Linked DNA regions of Mytilus edulis. The main gene of each other region encodes a partner of the protein of the gene in region 4 in a complex. Links are inferred from orthologs where the notes say so. Each region holds a gene or a part of one and is shown on either strand. Other genes may lie near its edges.

Region 1 (6,983 bases), on a different chromosome or scaffold from region 4:
GATAGTTGTCTCATCAGCAATCATATCACATCACCTTATTTTATATGTATATATTTTTCTAGCCTCATTTTCAGAAAAACATAAGAGACGTTTGGAATGGTGCGTCAATTTTCTTTTTTGCAGACAAAATCTGAGAAATTTTCATATGGTCTCCATGGAAAGTGATGTCCCAACATGTTTTATTCATGGTGCCCCATGTCCATCAAATTATCCTTAACGATTTTCTACGATGTAATCCAACATGGTTAAATTTTCACTGTAAGTGTTGCTGTTGAGTTTCACGCTCAGTTTATTTATTTATTTTCCTGACCACATGGAACTTTTCCTTAATCACAAGGTAAGTCTAGAGCAATAATTTATAGCAGAAGATAGGTTACCATAAAGTACAGAAAACTGAATTACATCAATGACACAATTATCAACTATTGGAGAATAACTGAATGTTATGTACTTAAAGATTCTCATTGAAACCATGATGGTGGATTAAATATGGACAATGGATTAGAAATTTTAAAGTCTGCAGAGTTATACTGTGCAACCACACTAAAAATAAATGTGGAATCTGTACATGACACACAGAAAGTGCCCCATTTGCATATCATATAAAGTTATAAAGGGACATAACTGAAGAACAGTAAAAGTGACCCTACTAGAATGTGTACTTGAATGTGTTTTGTGGTTATAAGTATTGTGTATAAGTTTCATAACATGTGGTAAAGGCAATCTTATATTAAGTTTTTAGAAAACAGAAATAAAAATTCAACATTTATTCCATTTGTAAAGGGATGAGTTTAGAACACTATAAGTGAACCCACCAAATTTCAAACTTGATCTGTATTATGCGGTAATAAGCAATGTGTAAAAGTTTCATAACATTTGTTTAAGGCTGACTTCAGTACATTGTTCATAGCATTTGGTTGAGGCAAACTAACATGACTAAAGTTTTAGAAATGCAGCATAAAATTCAGCGTATATTTACATTTGTAATTAAAGGGGCACAACTGTAGATCGTTTATAGTGACTCCACCAAAAATTCAAAATTGATCTGTGTTTTGTGTAGTCAGAGATTACTCTGACGTCCAACGGCTGGTTTGCCAGACAAGCTGGGGCCATTGGACGTCAGAGCTCGTCCCATATCAAAAAGTGGATATTTGCCCACCCAAAATAGATGCCCTGCTTCGTCGCTTCTGGTGCCGACTGACGGCCTTGGAATTACATAAATCGGGCATCAATCTGTTCATTTTTCATTTATCTTTTCATTTATGTAAGTTTTACCTACCTGCCAACCTTTATTTTTCCATATTTTAACAGTTTTCACCGAGACCCATCGTCTTTCAAGGCTATTTTTTCCAGGACACCTTTCTATCATGAAGGTGTCCCAGATTACAGCAGACGCCATAAACTTTTATTTGGACTAGTTTGGAAAGAACATAATGAAAGCAATTGGTATTTTAGAAATTTTTCAACTAAAAACCTGATGCTATTCAAACATGACAGCATCTATAATATTGACAGTGCTCTAGCTAGAAATCAAAAGAGGCAGGGTGCCAGTGGAGGGCAGGGCACTTTTTATGATAAGAAAAGGCTCTGCAAATTTTTTTGTCTACGTTTCTGTGTGTATCACGAGTTAACGAATCTCTTTTTTTTTACTGTATATGTTGGTTTTTTTTAAATAAAGATGCATTTTAACTATAGTCTTTATTTCATTGTTTGTGTAGTTATGAATTATATAGTACATCTCTAAGTTTCTGTGTATTACTAATTTATCAATGTTTAGAACATGGATTGCTAAAAGTATAATTATCAAACAGAAATTGCAATATATTTTTTTTAATATGTTCAAAGACAGTTAATATCCTTAAGGTAACATTATTATGTTATTATATATTCAATTGGTTCTTTATTCCTTTTTTTGATACTAGATAATATTTTTAGAGCACAAATTTGTAATAAGCTAAAACAGGGGAAGTAACTCCAAAATTAAATTCCAACACGTTTGCGTTAATTAAAAACTGTGCTTGTCGCTAACAAGTTGAGATGGAAGGCATTTCTGTGAAGGCATAGTTTTATTTTGATGACTTAAATTCAATTCTAAAGTCATGAAAGTCTTCATTTATACACTCTTCCATTGTGACTTGGAAATCGAAAATGACGACCCAAGCTAAACACACTAAGCTAAACACACTCGCTGACACATTCATCAAATGTATGACAAAAAGATACATTGTCCTAATTAAATTACCTAGATATTAACACCTTTGAAGTCTTTATCATTGTAATTGATTGTAATGACATGATTAACCTGGGGGCAATCACACTAGTGTCATATATGTAATTAACTTGGAGATCAGAAATCAATGAAACAAAAGGCAATTTTACCAAAACGGCACAAGAGAATTTTGGAAAAAAGACATCAGGACAGAAGGGCGCGGATGAAGGCACCCAGGGCGCGGCTGAGTGCACCCAGGGCGCGGCGCCCTTCTATTTCAGGCTAGCGAGACCACTGATTGATGTATGCACTATCCATGCTATCTGTGGCTAATTTATGTAGACCATTGATTGACACCGACAGTGATCATGTGACTATAACTTATAATGAAAAAAGTATACTCCATAGGCAACCACCCTTTTAAATTTATAAACGATACAAGACAATGAGACCAAACAGAACCTTCTGGTTTATTTACTCCCTTTAGTATATGATCAGAATGAAAGCAGCTGGAACATATGATAAGATGACAATATGTCAAAGGCGCCTTACCATCTTCTCCTTGCTCTACCTGTTCGGCCCAACTGAATCCTTTCGGCCTAAAATAGAAAAGAAGTTATAGAGTTTATCAAGGTTAGGGAGTCTTTCAGATTTGAAAATAGTAGACTATCATATAGTAATTTTAAGCCAAACATACTCTGCGTCTATTGACGGCATGCTTCTTGACTTATTTGACACTTCCGGTTAAATGGGCAAAACTAAATGATAACATTATCTCGTCCCAAGTTGCTTTTGAGACGTTTCGGCCACAATACCAGTTCGTCCATAGGTCATTTCGGCACATTACCAGTTTGACACCTGTTGATTCGGCCATATTTTTTCATATTTTTCATAATCATTATTTTGGTTATAGAAATTTGTTTTGGAAATTTTACTTGACAAAAAGAAAATTGTTCAAATGAAAAAGATAATTGATATTTGAGTAAAAATGCATCATATAAAAACAAGAGAAAACTGTTGAAATTGATCATAACACTTGTATATGTGTCTGATAATAAGAATTAATAAGAATTTGTAGACTGTTTGATATTTTCTAAACAATGACTTGACAAAAGCATAATATTATGACTTCTAAAGATAAATCAACGGAATGATAATTAAAAACAAATGATCAGAGGGCACACCCGCAGCCAGGGGTGTTCGATGGGTTCTGTTTTAATTGCAACTGTTAAAGTTAAGTATGATTGTATCGAAAGAGACCGTGGTTGATCCTCTAGTGTGGCCAATACGTCCTGCATCACTCACGTTTAATGGCTTTCATTTATTATGTACACGCAAGCTTAAAAATCGAGCATTTTGAACTGATGATTGTTTCTATACTATGTCTAGCGGCAAAACATTTCCCAACTCTTCAAATAAACAAATAAAGATCTATTTCGTGTCAGAACAGACATAAAAATATATGTGAAAAAATGAAAACTAGTTAAATTACGATAAAAAAAAAGAAGACAAAAAACACATAAAGCACCGATCTTATCTGACATGAATATAAAAACAAGAAGGGGTACAATTTCTCAATGAGGCAACTATCCATCAAATTAAACGGCATGATTTATGAAATATTTTTTCTCGTATCGTATCGTATGTGAAACAATTTAATGGTGCAAATCAACGGCAGGGTCTGAATGTGGTTAGAAGAGTCGAGAATAATTAGCAAAATACAGAATTAATGGCCAAAAAGATAAATGCGGGATTGTCTCGCTGTGCCCATTGGTAGCCTCGTTTTCTGCGTTTTCAGTTGGGTTGTTGTCTCTTTGACACATTCCTCGTTTCCATTCTTAATTTTATTGTAAATATACTAGAGAAAATAGAAGGAAAAAATCACACAATCTATAGTTTCCGGCATAACGCACAACACATAACGCCCAAAAATGGATAATAATCACCATTCAACATCTACATCTCCGTTTTATCCATGCAATATGGCTTCGTGTATTTTATACATTTGTCCAAGCTAAAGAAGGTTCCAAGTGATTGTGTAATAGCCGTGGGAGCGATTGAACAGGGCGTCAATGAAATATCAGGCTTTGAGATAATGAATTTATTTCAACTTTTACTGTGGCAATGGCATTTTAACTTGAAGAGAAATGTATCAGAAAAGGAACACTATAGTAAAAATGTATGTATAGCAACGATGTTTTTTTTTTAATGTTTTTGATATGATTTTGTCACTGTTGTTTGACAATTTTGAACAATTTACTCGAAGCTCTTTCATTTTAAGGAACCCGTATGGATATATATTGATTTTTTACTATTTCATTGGTCCATATTTACACGTAACGTGACGGTACCCAAATTGCACCTATTTTGACTGTTTTTTCACCTACGTTTTTTTATGATCATGAAAAAAATGCCCATACTGTGTGTATTTTGTAGCCCTATCCTTCTTTATTGTATAGGTACACCAATTTAATTTTGAATCCATATTGAGTCATAAAAAAATGGGTTTGAATCAACCTCCAAACTGTCCATGATTCTGTAATGAGGAGTACCCAAATTGCATCCATGCTTTATAAATTCACATCGTCAAAAGTCTGATAACCGAGCTTTTGTTTAATTTCTTCAAATATTTTGAACAATTGGATATTAGTCCATGCTTACTCTTCATATTTTACGAAATGGATACTTATGATATTGTATTTGGTAATTTTAGGAAGATGACGCTTTGATGACGTCGCATGATGACGTTTTCGTACATTTTGCTTTTTCAGTAAACAGTCCATCTGTTGATTATCACTGTGAACGTTTTGTGTATATCTAAATATGTTTACCTATGTTAAAAGACGTATATAGTATCAAATCATAAAAATACAAAGTGATTAGTCTCTAGGAAATCTTGTAGGATTTCTGTTGCTATTTTTTCTAAATAGGTGCAATTTGGGTACTCGGTGCAATTTGGGTACCCTTACGTTAGAATGTTTTCTTTATAACAGTTGAGTTCATCATACAATGTCCCATCCAACAACTTGTTAGTTTTTCGAATTGATATTCTCCCGAGCGACTATACTTTAAATATATTGATAGAATAAACATGATTACGGTCCATGCAGTTTTGTTTAAACACTTATGTTTGAGTGATAAAAATCAACGACCAGGGTCTAACAGGGTTGTTTACAGAATAGAGAATAATGAGCAAAAAATACAGAATCAAGGGGGAAATATTTAGGCAGGATTTTCTTGCTGTGTTGAAGACCATGCAAGTCTCTTAGACACATTCCTCGTTTCCATTCTCAATTTTATTGTAAATATACAAGAGAAAATAGAAGGAAACAAATATCCTTCAATCTATTGTTTTCGGCCAAAGCTCTATTTTTCAGCATAACACTCAAGAATTGATAAAAATCATCATTCGTTATTACGTTTTATCCATGTAATGACATATATGTTCGTGTATCACTAAACACAAAATGCATCGAAACAAGGTCATAATATGGTAGCTCAGTTTTCGATGAAACAAAAAAAAAAAACTCATTTAGTTATGTTTGCATACACAAACAAGCTGTAGAATATTATTAATTCATTTTTTCTATAAAAATTGATTGATTTCAAATTGGTCTGAAATTTAAAATTTACATTTTATGAATTGAATCCGTGAACCCGGTTTATTTTGGCTACTTTACACCACTGATTACTATATTATGAGTTGTTTGATTGACTGTCTACTTGTGACAATCACTTTATATTTTCTCTTTGCAGAATTTGTTAATATTGTTTTTATTTTATTTATTATTTATATTTATCATATACTTAGCATTAATATGATAGCTTTTGCATATGTGTAACGAACGGAAGTACACAAGCCATAATTTCCCACCCAGGCTGATAACCCATATCAGCCCGGTCTGATAACCCATATCAGGGGCGTCTCGTGCAAAAACCCATAACAGTGCTTCTCGTGCAAGTTACTTCCGGTGTTTCCGGTATCGGTTGTTTATTTTTTCCATTGTGACGTCAGATATTGATGACGACGTCAAAATTTACGGGAACAGTTTTGTGGGGATAGTTTAGTACTTACTAACAAATACCATTGGCAATTATGAATCATTTTATAGTACAACAAACATGGAGTAATAATGATAATGAAACTCTTCCAACTACTCAATGTTTCAAAATGCCTCTATAGGAAATGTTACCATAAAATGTACATATACTTTTAGAGTTAAATTAGGGGTTCGACAAGGTGATAACCTAAGCCCTAATCTTTTCAAAATTTTTATAAATGACTTTCCATCATATATTGATAATGTTGATGATGATCTGATTTTGGGTGATACTAATATTAATTGTTTAATGTATGCTGATGATATTGTTTTGCTCTCTACCACATCATATGGTCTTCAATCTAAGTTAAAAAATGTTGATAAGTTTTGCTCTGACTGGTGCTTAAACATAAACACCAATAAAACAAAAATTTTAGTATTTAATAAGCAAGGTAGACTTATCAATGAAAAATTTACTCTTCAGCAAGTTGAACTGGAATGTGTACAGCACTACAAGTATTTAGGCCTTATATTTTCGGCTTCAGGTGTCTTCTCTCATGCAAGACAGGAATTGTACAAAAAGAGTCTAAAAGGCTATTATAAATTATGCAAAGATGTTATTCGTTCACATCCAAAAATTACTACCAGTCTACATCTATTTGATCACATGATCAAACCTATTTCTTTATATTCCTCTGAAATTTGGGGTACATTTAACCCAAAGAGTAGTAAAT
Region 2 (7,693 bases), on a different chromosome or scaffold from region 4:
CATATTAATGATAAGTCATGTCAATACAGAATTGCTGACTACTGGACTGGTGATCGTGACCCTCATAAAACTATAATATCAATGTTTAGGCGTAAATTTATGATAAACATGCATCATTGCTCAACAATTTGGTAATGTCTCGCCTATTGTTAGACTTTGAAACATTTCTAAAAAGCACTAGCTACGAGATTTGAAAAAAATAGAATATGATTATGTTTGGTTCAATCGTTCATAAAAGTGAAATAATGAAATAATGATTCGTTTTTGGCAGCAAATTTGACGCTACATTTTTGTCAAAATAAACAACGAAATATCGCTGATGAAGATTGGTTACGCATGCATAAGTCGTGTTCAGTCATTTATAAAAGGAAAAGAATGTCAACATTGAAGTGAAACATAGGTTTCTTATTAACTTATTTGTTTAACCTATAACATGAAATTAAATAGACCTATAAAAATCCAATTACCGTGACGAGGTCGCAATCTATTTAGATTTAGGTTTATGTTTATATCGGGTGATGTGAATGTCGGGAGTATTCGAGGGTCATCTCGGCAGTTATTTAGATGGCGTCTAAACTAAAATAGACATGAAATTCTGATATACATTATCGAGTACATGATTTGTCAACTGCTTAATTCAGACTTATTGTAATTTGGATATATACGTTTTAGTATTTTATAAATTAAATTTGAGGAATTGAGTCAAATCGTTGAACATGAATTTGGCAGCTAATGCCCCTTTAAAAACATGAGTCCGCTTTATTTTAACACTTACATTCTGAACTGTTTAACATCGTGTAGACTGCAACGATGAATTTGTATGGTCGTACGTACTTGATAATAAACTCATCATAGATACCAGGACTAAATTTAGTATATACGCCAGACGCGCGTTTCTTAGTGTGTCATTTCAGTTGCCGGCCCGCTAACCGTAAGCAATGTTTCTTTTGCAATTTGTCAGAAATTAAAACTTTTAAAAACTAGTTAAAACTTGCACTGAACGATTAGTTGCAGAACACTTATTAGCGGCCGAGATGAAACGATATTCAGTGGCGGATCCAGGGGGGGGGGGGGGTTCCGGGGGTGCGCACCCCCCCTTTATTTTTGCCGATCAATGCATTTGTATCGGGACATATGTTTTGCACCCCCCTGCACCCCCCTTTGCCCTGGGTTAGCACCCCCCCCCCCTTTTCGAAAATTCCTGCATCCGCCCCTGATCTTTTACTGTTTTTGTGAAAGGTATCACCAGCCTTTTATTCTATGTTTTCGTCACTGACCAGATTTACAACATATATCAGTAAAATAACGGTACTCAATTGTAAAAAACTATCAGATTTTTTGTTTTAAATTCAAAAGAATTTGAAAACTTTAGACAGTACTAAAATATATATGTAGTAAATTTGTGAGTAACTCATTAATTTGTACTGACAATTCAGCAGTATAAACGTAAATATGTATATATACAATACTACTAATGGGAACTATATCTTCAATTATTAATGCTCAAATGATATTTTGGTTAAAAACTATCTTTGTTTGGTTAATAAATTTTGTTTCAGAATATCAACATATGTAAATAACGAAGATCTGCTTTAAGGTTGGTCGTTTTTCAAATATTCCTAGAAATGAGAGAATAAAATTGAGAATGGAAATGGGGAATATGTCAAAGAGACAACAACCCGGCCATAGAGCAGAAAACAGACTACGACAACAATTAAAGGGGACAGTTTTCACACAGCGATAAAATCCCGCACCCAAAAAGGGGCTTTAGTTGTCCCCTAAACAAAACTAGTTCAGTGAAAATTGACGTCATACTAAATTCCAAACTAATATGAAAAAAAATTAGAAATGATACAAGACATACGCTCTTGACTTGAGACAGGCGCAAAGATGCGGCGGGGTTAAACATGTTTAGTGAGATTTCAAGTTTCAACACTCCCCCTATACCCCTAGCAAATGAAGAGAAAACAAACACATAGCAATACACACAGTAAAACTGTCCGAGTCTGATGTCAGAATAAGCTAAGATTTTATAATAGTCTCAGGAATAGGTAACAAAAGAAACTAAGAAAAATGATAATGATAAAAATTAACAAAGGACTATGAACAGTTAATAACATACCAGCTGCAGACCTTAATTAAACTGATTAAAAGATGTTGTCTTCATCCTATTTACATCAAGTACAATACCTCCCGTAAGAGGTTTAGCTACATACGGTCATATATATATTTTGTAAACTTGTTTTAGGTGTTCATAACAAATCCATGAATTTGGAAATTTTATCCGAGCTAGGACGATTCCCACTTTATTATGATATGATTAAATCCATGTTAGATTACTGGTATCGCTTGGAAAATCTTGATTCCCGATTTTCTCTTCTTAAAGATGCTTATGTTACATCACAGAATCTTTCTCATTAAAAAAAACCCATCTTGGTATGGCTCTATGAAATCAATTCTTGAAATGATCCCAGACATAAATTATCTATCTTCACCATTACCAAAAATTAATAGCTTCAAAGCTAATATGAAAAAAAATTAAAATCATATTTTATAGACTTGTGGAACACTGAATTGGTAAAGCATTCAGATGGTAAACTTAGAACTTATGTTACATTTACATCAATTTTTGGAAGAGAACACTATCTTTCCATTATTGGGAATTTTGAACAGAGACGAAGCTTAACAAAGCTCAGAATTTCATCACACCACTTAAGAATTGAGTCCGGAAGGTATCAGGGTACTCTCCAAAATGACAGAACTTGTACTCGTTGTAACTCCGGAGGTGTGGAGGATGAATATCATTTTTTATTCCAATGTGTTAAATTTAATGATGACCGCAATCATCTATTTCAAGAGATAACTAAAAGTTGCCCCAACTTTTCAACTCTTAACGCAAGAGATAAACTGATATGGCTTATGAACACAGAAGATAAGTCTATTTTCACTGCTGCATGTAAATTTATTTCGAAAAATTGTTAATTATGTGGCTTTCTTGTCTGCTTCAGACACCAGGAGGACTGTGTAAATACAACAGCTCATTGAGTACCACCCCTTGGTGTCTGTTGCAGTAGGGAAACCTACACTATTCTCAATACCTGTTTACTGCAGTTTATGTTATTAATTGCTGTGAATATACATGAACTTTTTTCATTTGTGTTTGTTTTTCTGCATCAGATACGAGGAGGATTGTTAGAGCTTTTAAGATCACAATCCTAGAGCATCGTCCCTTGGTGTCTGTTGCAGCTAAACAATCATTTATTTTATATTTATACATTTTCAGCAAAATATTATAAAATAAAGTGAGAGAAAAAAAGTAAATAAATAAATGGGGTTTGCCACATCTCTGGAGTAGCAACTCTCAAATACTTTTTATTTGACAAATAATACCTGTATGACTATTTCAATAGTTTATTTTAAAATGTTATGTAAAATACTGTATATTGTATCAATTATATATGTTATGTGTATATGCCCCCCTGGGGACCTAATTTGGAAAATAAAATTTATCTTATCTGATATGACCGTACTGTAGCTACGTTGTTCGGTGTGAGCCAAGGCTCCGTGTTGAAGGCCGTAAATTGACATATAATGGTTTATTTTTATAAATTGTTATTTGGATGGAGAGTTGTCTCATTGGCACTCACACCACATCTTCCTATATCTATAAAATATACGAGAACTTGTAAAACCCGTATTATGTCAACACTGAACTGGTTTTTGAATAAATGTGTCAGTTATTTCGAATGCAAAGACCCTATGAGTAAATCAATATTAATACCAAAACATGCCATTAATAAACTGACAACAGTTTTGTAACTATATATCTTCTAAATAAATCTGTTTAAAGATTTGGTTAGCTTTTGGGGTGGTTGCCGACATTTTTGTGCTTTATAAAGAATCATATTCCCATAAAGATTAGATGTAAAATACCTAATGTATCATATTCCATTACCATGTGAAAACTATATTGCTTAATCTAATAGGATTGTTCTCTTTGATTTTGTTAGCAAAAAGTATCAATTTTTCGATGTGTTACATTATCATGCATAATCATTTCAATAAGCGTTGAAGACTGCACCGGCAGGCTTCAAAACTGAGCCGAATTGGATAATTTACTAAATATGCTAGTGTTATGATAAGTATTTTTGTTATGTCTGAGTAAAAGTTATTGTAACTATGTATCTATATTGTTTGTTTCTATATTCTGTTCTTCTCATTTTTTGTTCTTATATGCTTCTTGATTGATATTAAAAAGTAAAATGACAAAAATACTGAACTTAGAGGAAAATCAATTCGGAAAGTCTATAATCACATGGCAAAATCAAATAACAAAACGCATCAAAAACGAATGGACAAGAACTGTCATATTCCTGACTTGGTACAGGCATTTTCAAATGTAGAAAATGGTGGATTAAACCTCTTTTTATAGCGCTAACCCTCTCACTTTGATGACAGTCTCATCAAATACCGTAATATTCAGTACATTGATGCGTTAACTAAACAGACACAATAATACATGTAATAGTCACAATAATAAATCACAGTTGAACTGGTGTGTTAATGTTGTCGTTATCATATTCGTATTCAAATTAACTTTGTGATTGACAAAGAATTATATAAAAGTTAAACTGATTTATCAGGTTTATGGTAGAAGAAATGAAAACTATAACGCCTACAGTACGGAGCTGTTCTCAAACATGAATGACAGGTTTTAACCCTTTCTCCAATCAGATTTATTTCCGGTCAACGTGCTGTCATGAAAGTTTATACACGAATTTCACAATAAAACAAATAGAATGGTAAGAATAATAAGTGAAAAGTATTTTTCACTGTTGTTTATGAAACACATACATATAAAAGTATACCAATAAGCTATGTACCAAGGAATATTTTCAAGTTTATTGGATTTATTCCCAAAAAAACGAGACCAGATGGCAAATTTCTACATTTTTAAACTGTCAACATGCCGGGTACGTTTCTCCAAATAACGTTAGACCCCTTTCACGTTCGCACCCTTTTCACTGTGCTTAAACGGCTGTGGTTAAGTTACCCACAGCCCAAGATGGAGCCGCCTTGCGTCGGTTAGATACTTTTCTTCTATATAATAACAATACCACGAATGCATCAATTAAACAACTGAATTTAAAAGTTGTATTAATCGTTTAGGGAAACCCCTAAACTGGAAAGGTGATTAAATTCACCAAAATAAACGATCACAGCACGATTTTAAAAAACACTTAGGCTGTCCGTAACTTCAAAACAACTTGTCCGTAACTTTTTTCATCATACCAATAGAGATGTCCGTAACTTTCAAAGAATCGACATACGCGGATGTAATGTTTAAACTGATGATAGAGATTCCATCGAATACATATTCACAAAACGAAGTAGATGTCTAGTATGATATAATTCATTGTATCGATGAAAGACAAAATTGGGAAAAATATGAAAAAAATCACGATAAATCCGTAAAACTCGGGTCTCATTTTGTATAACGTCGGGGTACCCGAATCGCCTAGTTCGGAGGGTTGTTTCCGATCATAGCAGATAAACTGTTGAAACATCATTGTTCGTTTTTATTTTTGAACAAGTAGACTACACAAGTATTTTTTACACATACATGTAGCATGTATACACTTACTGATTTTCTGCCAGCAACGACAAGGGTAGCGTGAATCCGGGATTTTGGAGGGGAACCCAAATTGCCCAGGCGTGCAGTGGATAGACTATACGAAACTTAAGTGCACAAACTTTTTCCGTCTTTTTGAAAAAGCCAAAAACACTTTTCTCTCATCCCCACAAAAACAAATCCCATCAGCATTGACAGTAAAATAAAAGGGGTGTCAATCTGGACACACTGGGACGTTGCGCACGGTGATATTGCGGCACCCTGGCCAAGATTTACAGTAAATGGGAAAACTTTAAAAAAGGACATTTTGTATAAATGAATAAACCTAGTTTTACAGCTAGCTGCATATTTCATTTGTATGCAAGTTGCATTAAATCTCATTAAACTGAATAAAACTAAAAGACACAATAGGTAAAAGTCAGTGACAATAAAAGGAAAAGAGCAGTCATCATAGTGTAACAATTCGACATAGTATATAAAAATATAAATAACTACGTAGGAAAACAGGGTAATTTAATAGTCTAACAACCCCTGATGACATACAAAGAGAGAAAAAAAACATACTAGGAAACATATTCAAAAAATCATAACACTATAACTAACTGGTGGGATGTATAAATACCGAGCCGCGTCAAAGAGTATTCATCAAAATACACATAGAAAGAAACAGAGGTGAAGACAAACTGCAAACATATAATTAAACTCAAAACATTAAAGAGTATGGAAAAGCCTTGGTCTGACAAGCGAAAAACGTCGATAAGACGCACATCAGTAAATAAAAGTTCAAACCATAACCAGGATGGAGTACCACAAACCCCACATAAAACGTCTGTGGTGTAAGTATGATGCGTTAATAAAATCACATTTGGTGGTGAATGAGTAGTATAAACGGCCGCGAAGGTTACAAATATGATGTTTATTGTCTTCTAATTGTTGAAATTATAATTCTTAAAATTTTAAATCAAAAGTTACCCACATCTAAAAATAAAGTTACGGACAGTCTGCTTAGTTTCGATCAAAAAGTTACGGACATCTTATGTATTTTTTAAAGTTGACCTTGCGCTTTAGTGAACTCTATATTAACAAATTTATGGTAATTGTTAGTCATTTCTTTATTCAATAATCCTATAAATATTTACATTCTGCATGAAAAACGTCGCAAAAGGTACATTTTGTATGAATTAAATATCAACGAGTTTAGAGTCCGCCATCTTGGGCTGTGGGTAACTTAAGTTACCCACAGCCGTTTAAGCACAGTGCTTTTATTGGTATTTACTATTGTCTTTAACTTAGTCTTAGTCATATATATAGTGGGCAAATAAATGGGGTATGCGATTTAACGCAAAAAAGTGCTACAAGTACATACTAAGCATAAAGAACAAAAGCCAGAGATTCTATACACTCAACGGCCACATACTCCATCAAGTTCAGAGCAACCAAAACCTAGGAGTGCAGATATCAGAAGACGTGAAGTGGAGCACGCACATAACTAACGTTGCTAAAACGGCAAATTCAACCCTAGGCTTCCTCAGAAGAAATTTACACCATACTGTCCACAGGAATGTAAGAAAACTGCTTACATTTCTCTAGTAAGATCAACAATGGAATATGCATCAACAGTATGGGACCCCTACAGTATAGCAGACTCAAACAAGCCAGAACAAATACAAAGACCAGCAGCACGCTTTATCACAGGTGACTATAGAACTAGAGAAGATGGCTGCATAACAAACATGCTTACAAAATTAGAGCTACAGGAATTGCAATTGAGACGCACAAGCTTATATTTTTGTACAAGGTGGTTGAGGGGCTGCTACCTGCTATTGATCCAGACGACTTCCTCAAATCAGCAAGACCAAGACAGCTAAAATGTTTGACAACTGTCAAGCCACAAACAGTTGAAAAACAAGTGAGGAATAATACCAGGTGTTTTGACATTCCTACCAGTAAAACACTGCAACATTCAAATTCATTCTTTGTGTCCACAATAGTAAATTGGAACCATCAAGAAGACACTATTGTTTGCGCAACAAGTGTAGAGAGCTTTAAATCTGCTCTCAC
Region 3 (7,869 bases), on a different chromosome or scaffold from region 4:
CATGTAATCCTTCAAAAATGAGGTGAAGAATTTAAAAGGAACATTGAAACTCATAAGATGATTATAAACTGACTACACAATGACTAAAAAGCAAAAAAGCAAGGAGACAAACAACAGCATACAAAACAGATCAAAGAATAGTAAGCACTGAGCAACACGTACCACATGACAAAACAGGAGGTGAACTACAGGTGGTCTAGATGGTAAAGAAGATTCTGCTTCACATGTAACACCCATCGTGTTGCTCATGCAAGTACACATAATATACTATTAAAAAACCCACCCAAAGTAACTATTTTAAAAGTCTCGTGCAAATAACCAGTTTAATAATCTCAGATGGCATTTGCTACTCTGTTCTGGAAAGATTGTTTTTTTTATGAGGAAAGTGTACGGGATAACTCAACATCGTCTGATCGAGTATCAAATTCCAAATCTTGTTCGAAATCATTTTCTGTCTCAATAGTTTCATTTAGTATTTTAAAATGATCATACAATGCTTTTAGAGATATATCGTCATTGTTATCTTTTTTTTTTACTATCATTTAGATTATTCAGGATTTTCCATAGAGCTTTTGTATCCTTTTTAGAAATGTTACGCAACTCATCAGCAGCCTTCTGTTGAAAGTTTGCAAAAGCTTTATTTAATGTTATTTTATGTTCTTTACTAGCTTGTCTCATTTTACTTCTGTTTTCAGCATTTTTCAAAAAACTATATCTCTTTCGAGCTTTATGAAATTTTTTTCTACTCATCGAGCATTTTCTATTAAACCAAGGTTTTGAATTTTCATGTTTGTAAAAATGTTTATGTTTATTTATTTTCCCAAACGTTTCTGCCGCCGCATCTTTAAAATTTTTGCTGATATCTAAAACTATATTGTTTATATCATTTTGAGTTGCATCATTATTTACGGACAATTTGTCCAGTTTATTCATAACAGTGGTCAAAATACCTTCGGGATCATTGTGAATTCGATCAACGTATTCAGATTTCTGTTCACTTTTCCACCTGACAAAAGTTTGATCATTTCTATTGTTGATAACAATTGAATCTGATTTACTAAATGTGACCTGAAGTCTAAAATTTATAAAAGAATGACAATCAGAATATAACGGTATAAAGTCAGCAATTTCAAAATAAAAAATCATAGGGAAGAGCATTGCTGAAATAATTAAATAATCAACAACACTTGAATCGTTACATGTTTTCTCCCCAATATCTTTATCTGATCCAACTCTTGAATTCGCAATATATAAATTATTTTTTCTGCACAACTCTAACAGTCTATGACCATACTTATTAGGTCTACATGTACACTGAGACACTCTTTGTAAGGTGATTTTGTTTCGAGTCAGATTCTCATAATCATACAAATAATATAATATATCAGTATCACAATCTAAATCAAACATACTAACAACTGACTCATCAGGTATAATATAATCGGGTAAAGACCCAGTTTTTGAGTTAAAATCGCCAACTAGGGCAACATAACAATTTTCAGTGTTTGTTAGGATATTCAATTCATTTTCCAATTCTTCAAAAGCTTCTATAGTAGAATACTTAGAATTTTCAGGTGGTACATAAACACAACCAAAAATTACATCTGAATTAAGTGACAAAATTGATTTAGAAATTTGAAACCATAAAACAAATTGACTCTCAGTATTATAGAAATTCAATTCTTTTTCTAAACTCTTTCTATAAATAACAACTATTCCACCTGATGGTTTTTAAAAAAAAAAATCTATTTTTTGTGACATAAATATAATCGTCTGGTAAGTTTAAATTATCTAAATCAGTTAACATCGTTTCAACAAAAATACAGATATCATGTTCAAGCAAAATGTCAATGAAATCAGGAGACAATAGCCTTTTCTTAAGTCCACAAACATTTAAGAAACAAATATTTAAACTATCATTGTTAATTGTATATTTCTTATTCACAGTTTCATAACTTTTCAAATTCTTTTGAGGTTGTCCTCTTGCACCATTCCCCTATCTGCCAGAATTTGGTGAATCATCTGTGTGCGGTGGGCGAGGAGACGGTCCCTGTCGCTGTCTTTTGCTAGGATGGGTATCACTAGAATAAGACCCTTTTGGGCTCGTGTCATGGTTTGTTGATGAAGAGCCAGTATGCTCCGTTCTAGTGTCCTCTAATACCGTGTCAGGAATGTAGAGCTGATTGTCTATGTATAGCCGATCATGCACAAGAGAGGCTTGTCTATTTTGCTGTTTGGCTTGTTTTAACACCGGATACAGTTCCTTCCGCTTTTGTTCAATTTCATGAGGAAATTGTTCCCGTATTCCATATGGTCTACATTTTAGTCTGGTAGCATTTGCTTAAACATATTCCAGATCACGGTGATATAGGAATCTTGCAACTATTGGTGCTCTTCTGTTGTCCCCCTTTGTTCTGAATCGATGGACATTACCGAATTCGATCTTGTAGTCGATCCTCAGCTCATCGTATAGAAAAGATCGCAAAAGCTCTTCCGTATCTTCACCCGGAACTCTATGCAATCCCGTAAAGATCAGATTGTTTTTCATTGACCTGCATTGCAAGTCAAGAATAGCTGCCTTTAAGGACTCAATTTCCTTTGAAATGATGACTGGTGGAACACCCGGTCGGACGATGGTGTTGTCTTCGAGTTTCTTAATTCTCGTATCCTGATTGTTTATATTACGTCTGTTGGTTTTTACTTGTCCAGATACTTGATCGAAAAGATTGCTAACACCTTGGCAGCTAGTCTCGCAGTCTGACAGCTTTTTGTTGAAATGGCTTGCCTGGTTTTCTAATGTTCTAACCCTAGCTGACACCGTTAAGAAATCTTGTTTCAAATCATCAAGGTGCTTCTCCATACTTGTTTCCATTCGTCTCATTGTAGAGTCGATACCCGTAACTATTTCCAAAATCATGTTAAGCAATGTGACGGAGTTCAGATTTACATCATTGGAAGCGTCAACTATTCTTCGGCTTTCTTTAATCAACCTCGACTTATCGCTCATCGACATTCTTTTGATATGGAAAGAATTTAATAAAATAGTTCTTCTGATTAGTAGATAAGTATAAAAGAGGGACGAAAGATACCAAAGGGACAGTCAAACTCATAAATCTAAAACAAACTGACAACGCCATGGCTAAAAATGAAAAAGACAAACAAACAACAGCACACACGACACAACATAGAAAACTAAAGAATAAACAACACGAACCCCACCAAAAAACTAGGGGTGATCTCAGGTGCTCCGGAAGGGTAAGCAGATCCTGCTCCACATGCGGCACCCGTCGTGTTGCTTATGTGATAACAAATCCGGTAAATAGTCTAATTCGGTAGGTCACATTCAGGAAAGGGAAGGGGATTGTAGTTACGACGTAAGGAACATATCCGATATCATTTGTGATACGGTTATTCCATAACGGTCAACCAACTTAAATTAATACCTCTTGCTTGGGGCAAAGTCATTAAACAGATCACACCTGGTCAGAGAGTATTAAATTCTAAATAACATTCATCCAAAATTGCAACATCCTGTACAACTTAAATCGCACATGGTCTTTTGAATTCACAAGATAAGTAATACACGAGTTTATTAAAGAAAAATGGGCTTTCTTTTTACCTGTACTCTTTAATAGTCCGTATAAGATTTAATATAAATTATACGCTATATTTTTTTTATCGCAAAAGGGGTTATACTTTTTTCAGCAATTTTGGAAATGTTGAATTCTAAATCTCTCTGATATAGGAGTATCCTCTTCAATGAACTAGTATGTGCTGTTCATTTTTGACCCCTTGGCATTTTGAAATATCTTCCTATTTTAATGGCAAGGTTATGAGCACCGACTCTTAGTTAACACACCGACGATCGATCTAATCTATTTCATAAAGCATCAACATAAGCTATAAACGTACAGTCATTTTGTAAACATTATGGAAATTAATTTTTAATACTAGTATGCTGAAATATTTGCCTGGCAATCACGGGTCTAAATAATTTTTTTTTATTTAATATAGGATTTCTCTATATTTTTCTATAAATGAACTTTATCTGATACTCAAATAGAAAAATGAAATAAAAAAATGGGGTCACCGTTCATTTACGCTCACAATCTCGGAAGAAGCATACATTTTGTTAATGTCCTTTTTTTCTGTTGAACTAATAGGAGAAATAGCGGTAATATCGAAATAAAAAAAGAACTAAATAACAGAAATCGCTTAAATTTTACAATTATTTAGTTTATGTACAGCTTATTCGAAAACAACAATAAAAAATATAGGTCACCGATGTGTTAAGAAAGATACTTATATTTTAATGCAAAAAAATTGGCATTTTTGCACCAAAGGGAGATAATTTGGAGCTTTTTCAATGATATCTACATTTTAAAAGTCACCTGGGGCCAACACAAATTGATTTTTTGGAATGATTTTTGTACCATATGATAAAGGAACAACTACTTAAGGTAATAAACAAAATTTGTAATGAAAAATTAATGTTTTAATTTTTTTCTGAAAATCTTATACCCGCGAGCCTCCTTAAATGTAACTTTTCCAGTGTCTTTAAACGTCGAGATCATAAAAGTTAAATTGATTCAGATTGGTCACTTCATAGTTAGTGAAAGTATGAAAATAGTTTAATTGTGAAACTGATATTTTTTTCTCGTCTAAAAGTCCCTAAATAGGTAAAAATTGAAGATAAATGGGAAAAGTTATTATTGTGCTCCTCAATCTTTATTTTTCTGTGTTCGTCTTATCAGAGACATATAATACAAATGTAGAATATGTCTCTGGTCTTATTAACGTTTTTTTTCTTTGTTTTGTCATTTTTTGCGGAAATTGATATTATTGTTTGGTCATCGGTTTAACATTTATATTTCTACGCCTGCGCAATAAACTACCGGCGAATCCACGAGGGTTTTCAAGATGGCGGCTGATAGAAGCGATTCAGAATCGCGGAGACAAAAATCTGATTCACAGAATCAGGACGGAGAATTTGAGGATTTCGGAGAAGAACCAGACTTTAGTGACCCTGATGAATATGATGAAGATGTAACTGACGAAGGTTAACCTTCGTAACATGTTTTTTTCTACCCCATATGTGGGCTTCCGATGGTTTTCGTACTTCTGGAGTGGTTCAAAACCACTTTTATAAGATGTTTAGTCTGATTTCACCCCTTAAGTCTTGTTTTAATCCTGATCTATCTATACCAGTCCATATAATTCTTAGAGAATCCAACGATTTGCATGAAATTATGCGCAATCTGTATCTGTATCTGTATTGGGAAATCCCTCCTTCAAAGGAGCACTTCACAATGAATATATATGTCTATACACACTTAGTTTGAAAATATAAAAAATATAAATATAAACAAAAGAGATGAAATATGGGAAAGAAAGAATTTGCGTTGTAACTTGTATGATTGATGTATCCATGAGAGACTGAAAGCAACTTATATTTGTTCACAAAAATCTAAATAAATGAGATAAGAGATCAACCTTCCGTCTTCAACCAGTATCTATACCATATGTCAACTCTTTTGTCAAACCTGTTTGGCAATGGTATCAGGTCCGTTCGCGCCCAATACACGTTCGCACCCAAGGTCCGTTCGCACTCTACACGTTCGCGCCCAATTTTTATTAACATTCCAGTTGAATAATTGGAAATCATGATTGTTGTTTTAAATTGCTTTGGTGTAAATATTGAATGTATATAGCTCGGTATGAGTAAAACATTGAAGATTTTAAATGAAAAACACAAAAGATAATTGTTTTTGACAGCTTGGTAACTTTGATCTGAAACAATTAAACAATAAAATACATGTATTTTACACTATTATAACCAAAACATGATGAAATTTATTCAACACACAAAAAAAAACGTAGTCAGAATCTCACTTAGTTGTTTTGAAACAAGTCAATGAAACAAAGTTATAGCAATACACTAACCAAAACATGATTAAGAGTTATTCAACACAAAATAAAACGATGACAGAATCCCACTTTATTTATAAAAAGGATTATATTTTCTTTTAACAATACACTATCCAACTCATGATTAAGATTTATTCAACACATAAAAAAAAATGCTGTCTCACTTTATTTTAAGACAATGACAACAAGAATACTCTTGCCAAAACTTGCATGATTACTAAATCAAACAATTAAAATTGGGCGCGAACATGTAGGGTGGGAACGGACTTTGGATGCGAACATGTAGGGTGCGAAAGTAAAAGGGGGCGAACGAACCCGGATTCTTTGGCAATGGTTTGACATTGACAACCATCCTAACAAGGGATTGTCCCTCATATCCTTGATATATAATATTTGCCACTTGACATTAAGGTTCATCGTAAGGAATTGAAAAATATGGCCGTGTTTACACCTCCAAAATTACTATGAGTACAGACAAACTGGTACATCCAGGAAAGTTTTAAGGCATGGCAGGAACTAGATATATATAAAAGTTATATGAAGTCTACGTTTCAGAAAATTAAAAACTTACCTGGATTTTGATGTTCATTTTTTTCCAGTCTGCAGAAGATAGCAAAATAAACAAACACCCGAGTTTCATTTGATACGGTCCACTCAGTTACACAGTTTAAACCTGTAAATTCACCTATTGTTTACAGGTGTCTATTGTCCATTTAAATCAATACTACTCACAACATTGATTATATGAGGGGAGCTTCTCAATCGTTTTCACTACTTAGTTAATTTTTGCACCTTCTGCAGGAACGAAAAAAATGGATAGCAAAATCTAGAAAAGTTTATAATTTTCTGAAACATAAAATGCATTTAAAATTTATATATCTAGTTCCTGCCATCCCTTAAAACTGTTGCAGGTGTATAGGTTAGTCTATACTCAGAGTAAAATTTGGGGTGTAAATACGGCCATTTTAGCCAAAAGGTTATGATGAACCTTAAACACTAATTCATCAACAAGTTCAAAAATGTTCTTTCATTCTGTTGATAACAATTTTGTTAAACTACTTTTTACAATATCAGTGGCACATCCAGGGGTAGGATTGCGGGGTTGAAAACCCTCTTATTTTGGACGGTCAATGCATTTGAATGGGGACATAAAAACGAAACCCCCTTTTTATCCTGAGTTGGGACCACTCCTTTTGAAAATGGCTGGATCCGCCCTTGGATATAAAGTTTCAGTCAAACCTTGTCAAATTGTTTATTACTCTAGAGACAGTCTGAGATTTGCTGGGGAAAGTAATCAAGATATTTAAGGGAGTGTGTTCTCAGTTTCAAAATAATTAGCATTTCAAAACACTAGTATATATTGATAGGGGATTAATAAAGAAATTAAAAGAGCAAAAAAATATATAGGTCAATGTGCTTGTTTTCGAGATATTAGCCATTGAAATTTTGGTGGGAAAATATTTTCTCTTGACGTTTCATAGCTGTATCATTGACAAGTTTAAGTTCTCAAAAACTATTAAAAAATAATTAGAATATTATAACACGTTTTACAGATGGCTAAAAATCATACATGTAAAAGATTTATAAAAAGAAAAATGGGAGCTAACGGGCAAATTTTTTAAGGCATTCAAATGGATTAAACCAGAGGATTCTGAAAATCTTACAAAAATCCCAAAACATGACAAGCGTACTTATGTGCTTCCTTAAATTAAGATATGCTTAAAAGCATGCTTCTTTGGGCTTACATGTATATCATTTGCGATTTTGTACATGAATAGTAAAAATCACTTATTTGAGATTTCACATACCTTTGCATAAACTATTTGATTTATTAACAATGCATTTTCTTCTGTAAAATGTACATCACAGAAACTTATTGTTTTTTTTCAGAATTACTTGGAGATTTATTGAAATCGAAGCCAAAGGAGTCTGATGGGATTG
Region 4 (7,666 bases):
AACGCGTGTCTGGCATAAATATAAGGAGTAAATATAAAATTTCAATCCTGGTATCTATGAGGACTTTATTTCCGGTATGTATTGTCTTTTGTACCAAGTCATCATTCTGATTTTCTGCCGCCTAAATGTATCAAGTACGGAATGACCGTTGTTTTCTAATCGTTGGTAAGACGTGGTTCTAAACAAGAAATTGACATTAGTAAATGTGAGAAGAATGATTGTGGAGCGGAATTTACAACTAATACTGAAATTTAGAAGAAAGAAAAAACAATTTTACTTACTGATGTTTTGTAACATTACGAAGTTTATCTCTGATTTATATACTGGTTACCTATGTAAATGACAAATTGGTGCCATTCATAGCAATGAAACAGAATCCACATGATATATGCGACCATTATTTGATAAAATTAATATTACTTTGATATTACACTTTTTGAAACCATTTCTATCAATTTTCAGATTCCATTGTCTAAACTTGTTCATGATTGTGTTGTTTCCATATATTCTAGCCACTAATCTTGAGTCTATCCCTTTATTCAGATAACACCCCATATAGCAATAAAATTATGCTTGTAATGTCATTCATAACTCTTAACAGACCAATTAACAGACCGAGTTTTATACATCCGACCCATTAACAGACCACATTTTTATCAAAAATTGATTTATGTCACCAAAATACAGTTTTTCGTGTAGATTTTTCACATATTGATGTTAATATGGTAAACAAACATAATGCCTGTCTTTTTTCGTTGTTCAAAATATTGCATGCAAGTAAACTCAACCAACTTGTCATTTTTGTGTACATTTTGTGTGTGTAAAATGTGTATAAATTTACTGATGAGTAACTCGCCTTTTCATTTTATAGATCGTTTATTGAAGCTAGAAAAAAAATAATTACACCACTGGATTCAGTATTCCAAATCGTTTTGTCAGACATGAATAGTTTTTATGATATAAATATAATTAAAAAGTTATACAATGAAACATACTGACCTTGCAATGATTTTCTCGATAACACCTGATTAACAGACTTTAGCCAACCCGATTAACAGACCAACCGCCGATATAGCCGCATACTCAATATAGATTAACCGACCAAACTCTCGGTTAGCCGAGTGTCGGCCGTGATGTTCTAAACACCAAAATAGTTTCTTCTCAATATGAATTGATTTTTTTTTCAAATTCAAATTTTTACGGTAATACCGTATATGAAAATAAAAGATTTTAGGTAATTGAAATAAATATATTTTTTATTAATTTTTATATAAGACAAAGATGCCAAATATTTATAACAATGAATGTGCATTGTTTTATTATGCACAGAATGCGTGACCGTATTTGGGGATTTCTCAAACAAAGGTTATTTAAGAAATGTAGACAAGGTACCATGTTTTAACAACAACTCGTCGTCGGTACATGGGATATGATTTATAGTTTGCGTTATTTTCTCATTTTATATTCTATTTTGATTATAGTATATACAGTTTTCATCATTTAGAAAAATAATCATAATAAATATATGATCTTTATACTTTCAACGTAAACAATCTCGGGAGTTTTTATAGGTAAAATGTTTCAGTAACAGAAAGTGATTTTCAAACCTCTCAAATATCCACTTGGTGTTTGTTAATACTTTGCAATTTCACTGCAATCAAGCAGATTATTATGAAAACATTTTGTCAAGGATTTGTAAGTTGTTAAGAAAAGAATAATTTGCTATACTGTCTCTGAAGCTTTCTGATTTTAAGTACCAGCATGAAGCATTTTTTTTTTAATATTGTCGTATACCCAATGAAAATATCAATGGGGTATGGAGAGAATGCACATGAGATAATATTTAATATCAATACATGGTAAAATCAAAATAAGGAACGTTTTTATTCTTGTCCTTCATCTTCAAGTCACATGAGGCATTCAACAATGATAAATATTTCTCATAACTGGTAAGTTTAAGTTTACCCTTCGCATTGGTTTGAGCAGAATTCATGGTTAAATATCATACAACGCTACATTCCTTTTTATGACTGTTCGTTGATACTTTTAAATTCCACCAAAAGCGAATAGAAATGAAAACATTATGTCTAGGACTTCTCAACTTTTACTAAGAGGAATAATTTGATATTTGTTTGCTTTAAGATTTTTATAACTTTTGTCAAACGAAGTTGGGGAACGGATTTAGTGTTTCGTCTGTCCATCACAAAATTAAAGTCCATCTATCTAGTTTAAACATATTTATTAGCAGTGGATTGGGAAACAAGTTATTGCAACTTATATTAATCCCTTTCCACTTTGCAGGTGCGAGTGCTGTCTTTTAGCGGAATTAGCCTTCTCTAACTCGAAATCTACAAGGCTGTATTTTACGTGCAAGAGAACATTGGTCAGCCATATATTGTCCCCTTCCGACGGACTGTCGTCGTTTTTCAAGACCACACTCACAAATGGTGTCAAGGGAGAGCCGGAACGGGGATCGAACCAGGAACTTTTTTGTTAGTAGTCCTATGTACTAACCACTACAACACGACTCCCCATCTATCTGTGTTATAGTTATAGTTCATTAGATTTTGTTCATAGATGCGTCTTTAATAACAAAGGGTCATGATAAAAAAATAAGGTCATCTTGACCTACATTTCACATATGAGTTACTAATTGAAGTTTGCGTTAGAGTCCATATCTGAGATACAACTCGTGAAGAAATAATATTTGTCAGTAGATGCGTCTGTAATAGTCCGCATCGAGGGTCTTAAAAAAATATGTCATCTTGACATAAAATTTATTGATGGGGAAATGAGGTGAAAGGCTGCGTTTAAGTCCATATCTGAGACGAGGAATACAATTATTTTGTCAGTAGATGCAACCTTGATAGTCAAGAGTTTCAAAATCAGGTCTTGAAAATGAATTGCATGGATGATATTCGATTTCATCAACTGCACAATTAAGTTATATCTTATATAGCATTATCGTAACTAATTGGATTGGATCAATTCTGTCAATTGAGGATTAAAGTGAAGAGTCAATATAAAAATTGTTTATATAATCTTTTGCACTATTTTTACACCAAAAATCTCCATATTTCCGGCCAAAAAAATTCAACTCTCTCAGTGTGCAAGTTTGAAGTTTGGCTAGCTATAAAACCAGGAACACAAGGAAGTGCCGCCATGTCAGTACAAAGTCAGGAATGTGACAATTGTTTTTAATGCGTTAGATGTGTTTAAGTTTTTGATTTTGCCATTCCATAAAGGACTTTTCGTTCTGAATATCCAATGGAGTTGGTATTTTTTGTTAATTAACATCATTTTTAACTTTGTTCCATATGCTGATAAGTCTTAATTTTTCACGGATCGACGAGCTCAGCATCATCACAACCTAACATAACATTATACTATAAACTTTTCCCCGTGACGAACTGCTGAAGAATGAATTATACAGTATTTCAAAATCTAACAGTGCTTGTAAAATTCTCACGCTACCTCAGTCAGTGGCCCCGGGTTCTCATTTTATCCATTAGGAACATAAAAAGTAACGGAAATGTAATTAGCTTTATTGTTATCAAAATATTTGTTTCTGTGTCGATTATTTTTTTTCAACTTTTAACTATATAAGGGGAGATATCTCGTTTAGCGAAATTTTATAGTCTTTATAGTCCTCGTGATGAAGAAGAGTTAATGAAATTTGTCTACTTGTAGCAAGAAACAAGCTCATTTTCTGTTGTTGTTTTTTTTTGGATATTATAAAAACTTTCAAATATTTTATTCACAACTCTTGTTTCATAAATTTCTTACTTTTCACAAATAGTGCATAAAAGCCTATTAAAAATAATAAGGATTCTACACGTTCCCTTTTTAATACAGATACAGACAAAGTTTTTTTTATGACCCCCACTGTTTATTATGTTTTAGAAAGAAATAAAATTGGGGAATGTTTCAAAGCGACAACAACCCGACCATAAAGCATAGTAAAATCGACATTTTGATAAAGTGAGTGTGAGTTCGTGGTCTAGTGGTTAAGACCGATGGCTACAGTGCTGAAGGTCCCGAGTCCGATTCTCACTCGGGGTGCTAAAAATATCAGTACATCAGAAGGGTAATTTTCACCCTCTCACACACATCTCTGGTACCCAGACCGGAGTTTAAACTAGAATGGGTACTTTGGGGGCCTCGGTTGGTCAAAGTTGTTCCCTACTTGACCTGGAGATCAATCTTCTGATATCTCTCTGGTTTGTCTGTTTCCACCGAGTGGCCCGGTGGTTCTCTCCGAGTACTTCGGCTTCCTCCACCATAATAACAGACTTCCCGGTGTCCTAGCACTCCCTTAGTGTTGGGTGGGGATTGAGTTGTCCTTGTAAAAATAATTGTCGTATAAATATACGTTAGTGACACATCTCCATTAATCCCGATAGGGAGTGTACATGGATGATCATGGATGCCACTGTACCCTCGCAGCTTTCGAGGGGTTCTTCGGATATCGGAGGCATTTACCAGTACATACAGTATACGAAATTTCTGTCAGGGGAAATATTTAGCTATTATCCTCAATAACTCATGATTAATCCTTTTCACTTTAAAGTTTTCAGAATGTATGGCATGAAAGATCATAAAATGGATGAATATCGGAGATTCTTGCCTGACGGATGTACGTATCCGGGTTTTATTGTCGTACTCATAATTTTGTGACGTAGATCACAACTCATGTGTAGTTGCTGGAAGCCGCCATTGCGTGCGAAATAACATATTGCAGCCAATTTCATTTGTCATAATATCTTGTAAAATAGTATATACACTAAGGTGAACAAACATTTTTATATAAACTACATCTCGATTAAGATTTTTTATTCTATATACATTGTAAACTGCAGAATAAGCTTGTACAGTACTACCGTACGCATTGAGATTTAGTGCCGGTGGTCAGGGACAGGGTTCTTTCTTATTTGGTCACTTGAAGACAATCCAGCAACGCCAAACTCTATAAAATTTGGGGAAATCATTTGACAAGTAAACAAATACCAATTATGTGAATTTTTCAACACCAGAGGAAAGTAGACAAACTTTCCATTTATAAATTTAAAACATGATTTATTTCACCAAATTCAAAGGTTTAATTTGAATACATGAGAAATCAACTTTACACTAGTTGTCAGAAACTGTCTGAGATCTGCACTTTGTGTCTTTTTTGTTGTCGGGGATAAATATATACACTGTCAATTCCAATGGCCAAGTTCGGATGGAACTAGAGTTTTGACTCTAGTTCCATATGAACGGGACATAATTTTGAAGAGTAAGGACTCTATATTACCGGAAGTACAAGGCCCCTACTCTGAATATGTTTACATTCAAATTTGATTGGATCGACGTCATAACGTCCGGGATATCGAGTCGATCTCTAGTAACCCTGCCACAACCCAGGGCTCATTGAGTTCTAATGGCGGGAAAGCTATATCCAATCATAACAGGTGTTATATATGACCATGTCAATCCCATCTACTCTAGATATCCATCCGAACTTTGCCAATGTGCATGTGTAATATGGTCATACCAGGCAGTAATTTATTACCGCTTGCATAGTGATGTAACAGTGTTTCTCGTTAGTTTCTTATATGCAAAACAGATTGGGGCCCCTTCCGGGTTGTTTGCTTAACATGAGTGTTGAATCTGAGAAAATATCATGGATTATCAAGCATTCCCAACAGCATAAACCCTACATTTTCCCCAATTATGGGAGCAATTCCAAAACGATCTAAAAAAAAAATTCATCTCAAGTCATGACAGCACTGTTCATTTATTCAACAGTTAGCTTTAAGCTTAAAATCTGCAACAAGAAATGTGTAAATCTGAGTAAAAGCATATTTTTTTTGCTAAGAAAATTAATGAAACACGTGTATATTAACAATCATTCAAACATTATTCTTGATTATGTTTTAGCTAATTCAAGATGTCGAGGTTTTTTATGGGATCTGATTCTGAATCAGATGATTCAGTAAGTGATACAGAGGTAGCGCCAAGTAGAACCACTACCAAACCAGCAACGTAAGTATTAAGCTTACAGATTTATGCAAAAGTTTTAACCTACATGTAGTTAAGGTAGAAAAGGGGGGGATTAATAATTTTTCAAAATGTAGTTTAAATCATACTCTTTTACAATTTTTTTTTTTTTAAAGTATGGGTCTCTGGACTTTTTTTCATGTTACATGTACATGTTGTGCAAGATTGTCAGATCTTTTTAAGATTTATATGCATGGAAAACTTGTACTTCACATTATTTATAGAATTGTAAAAGTAAAAACATCTTGAAAAAAAAGTATCTTTTTCTGACTTTGTAATGGTTGATAACAAATTCTCTAACGATTAGATGTAGTAAGTGTCAAGATTAGTTATTTTTTGGTACAAATAGTATTATAAATTGTCATGATTTGAAATCAGGTGATCCAAAGAAAATTTTATGAACTGTTGTAAGAAGTAAAATCAAACGGAGCAAAATCAATTTATGCATGCAGGGTCAACAGTTTTCATGTAAATTTAAGAGGACATATATTTGCTTTTGAAGGGGTTACCAGTTCAGTGATGAAGAAGAAGAAACAAAGCGTGAAGTACGAAGTGCTAAAGATAAACGGTAAGAAATAAAAGATATAGATCAAATGTAGATTAAACTGAATTATTTTAGACCAAATAAAATAGTATGTGTGGTTCCAGTTATATCTAAAAATAAAAATAGGATAGGAAGGTAGGGATTATTTTTTACATTGAGTCTAAGGGAGCAACATTCTGAATTTAATAGTGCTGAATAAAAAATGATGTAAGAAAATCTTTAGGGTAAGCTAAAATTAAGTCTTAAAAGTAGGGTAGGCAGCTAGGGTAACTCGAACCACACATATATTTTTATTTGGCCTTATAGAATACAAACTTTTAAATTTAAGAAATATCTATTTCAATCTTTGATTTCAACTGGAAATGTGCATTCATGATGACATTTATTTTATGTTTCTCTTAATGTATGAAACATGATAATTTTCTTTTTACAGATTTGAAGAATTAAAGACTATTATGAAAAACATGAATAACCATAAAAAGATTAAAGATATGGCCAATGTTCTTACAGGTAAGTCAGTAAAAGGTGTAATATCAGCTACTCATATACATGTTAAAATTGTTCTTGTAAGGCAATTACTAATCTCCAGTAGAAAATTTCAAGCAAATATTTTTTTTTTCTTTTTGCAAGAGGAATGGTACAAGTTGAATGGCCAGGATAAATATTGTGCTTAATACTTTGACTTTGTTGATTTATGAAAGTATTATATGAACATGATGAAAATTATCTTGAATTTTGCTGATTCGAAATGTTTAGCTTATGTCAATCGACAAAAAGGGACCACTTTTAATTTAAGTGCAAAGATATTTTACTTCCATGGTAGTGCAAATAAAGTCTGTCATTATAGGGCTTACAAATGCAGTTTGGATCATTGATTCTTACAACATCACTGGTACCATTTATTCTTTCTTTGTAGATTTAACATATTTATTGCATGCATCATTTACATCTATCTGATTTTATCAATAAAATGCATGCTGTCTGAGTTGCCATTTTATAGGCTAATACAATGTAGATGAAACAAATTTTATCTAAAATAACCGCCAAGTACAAAAATTGTCATGAAATTTCTTCCTCTAT

What was found.
Region 1: eukaryotic translation initiation factor 3 subunit C-like (region 4) and eukaryotic translation initiation factor 3 subunit G-like share a complex: the UniProt entries of both Caenorhabditis elegans proteins name them as parts of the eukaryotic translation initiation factor 3 (eIF-3) complex. The link is inferred for Mytilus edulis from reciprocal best matches to the Caenorhabditis elegans genes eif-3.C and eif-3.G.
Region 2: eukaryotic translation initiation factor 3 subunit C-like (region 4) and eukaryotic translation initiation factor 3 subunit I-like share a complex: the UniProt entries of both Caenorhabditis elegans proteins name them as parts of the eukaryotic translation initiation factor 3 (eIF-3) complex. The link is inferred for Mytilus edulis from reciprocal best matches to the Caenorhabditis elegans genes eif-3.C and eif-3.I.
Region 3: eukaryotic translation initiation factor 3 subunit C-like (region 4) and eukaryotic translation initiation factor 3 subunit B-like share a complex: the UniProt entries of both Caenorhabditis elegans proteins name them as parts of the eukaryotic translation initiation factor 3 (eIF-3) complex. The link is inferred for Mytilus edulis from reciprocal best matches to the Caenorhabditis elegans genes eif-3.C and eif-3.B.

Annotation. Positions count from the first base shown.
Region 1 is NC_092345.1:11,400,224-11,407,206, forward strand, and holds the start of eukaryotic translation initiation factor 3 subunit G-like, read right to left. Parts: upstream 3,019-6,983; 5' UTR 2,927-3,018; coding exon 2,907-2,926; intron 2,809-2,906; coding exon 2,762-2,808; intron 1-2,761. UniProt on the Caenorhabditis elegans protein: RNA-binding component of the eukaryotic translation initiation factor 3 (eIF-3) complex, which is involved in protein synthesis of a specialized repertoire of mRNAs and, together with other initiation factors, stimulates binding of mRNA and methionyl-tRNAi to the 40S ribosome.
Region 2 is NC_092344.1:35,625,026-35,632,718, reverse strand, and holds the start of eukaryotic translation initiation factor 3 subunit I-like, read left to right. Parts: upstream 1-4,671; 5' UTR 4,672-4,799; coding exon 4,800-4,802; intron 4,803-7,693. UniProt on the Caenorhabditis elegans protein: Component of the eukaryotic translation initiation factor 3 (eIF-3) complex, which is involved in protein synthesis of a specialized repertoire of mRNAs and, together with other initiation factors, stimulates binding of mRNA and methionyl-tRNAi to the 40S ribosome.
Region 3 is NC_092352.1:57,917,523-57,925,391, forward strand, and holds the start of eukaryotic translation initiation factor 3 subunit B-like, read left to right. Parts: upstream 1-4,848; 5' UTR 4,849-4,920; coding exon 4,921-5,059; intron 5,060-7,818; coding exon 7,819-7,869. UniProt on the Caenorhabditis elegans protein: RNA-binding component of the eukaryotic translation initiation factor 3 (eIF-3) complex, which is involved in protein synthesis of a specialized repertoire of mRNAs and, together with other initiation factors, stimulates binding of mRNA and methionyl-tRNAi to the 40S ribosome.
Region 4 is NC_092349.1:66,957,276-66,964,941, reverse strand, and holds the start of eukaryotic translation initiation factor 3 subunit C-like, read left to right. Parts: upstream 1-4,653; 5' UTR 4,654-4,788; intron 4,789-5,922; 5' UTR 5,923-5,932; coding exon 5,933-6,027; intron 6,028-6,544; coding exon 6,545-6,610; intron 6,611-7,019; coding exon 7,020-7,096; intron 7,097-7,666. UniProt on the Caenorhabditis elegans protein: Component of the eukaryotic translation initiation factor 3 (eIF-3) complex, which is involved in protein synthesis of a specialized repertoire of mRNAs and, together with other initiation factors, stimulates binding of mRNA and methionyl-tRNAi to the 40S ribosome.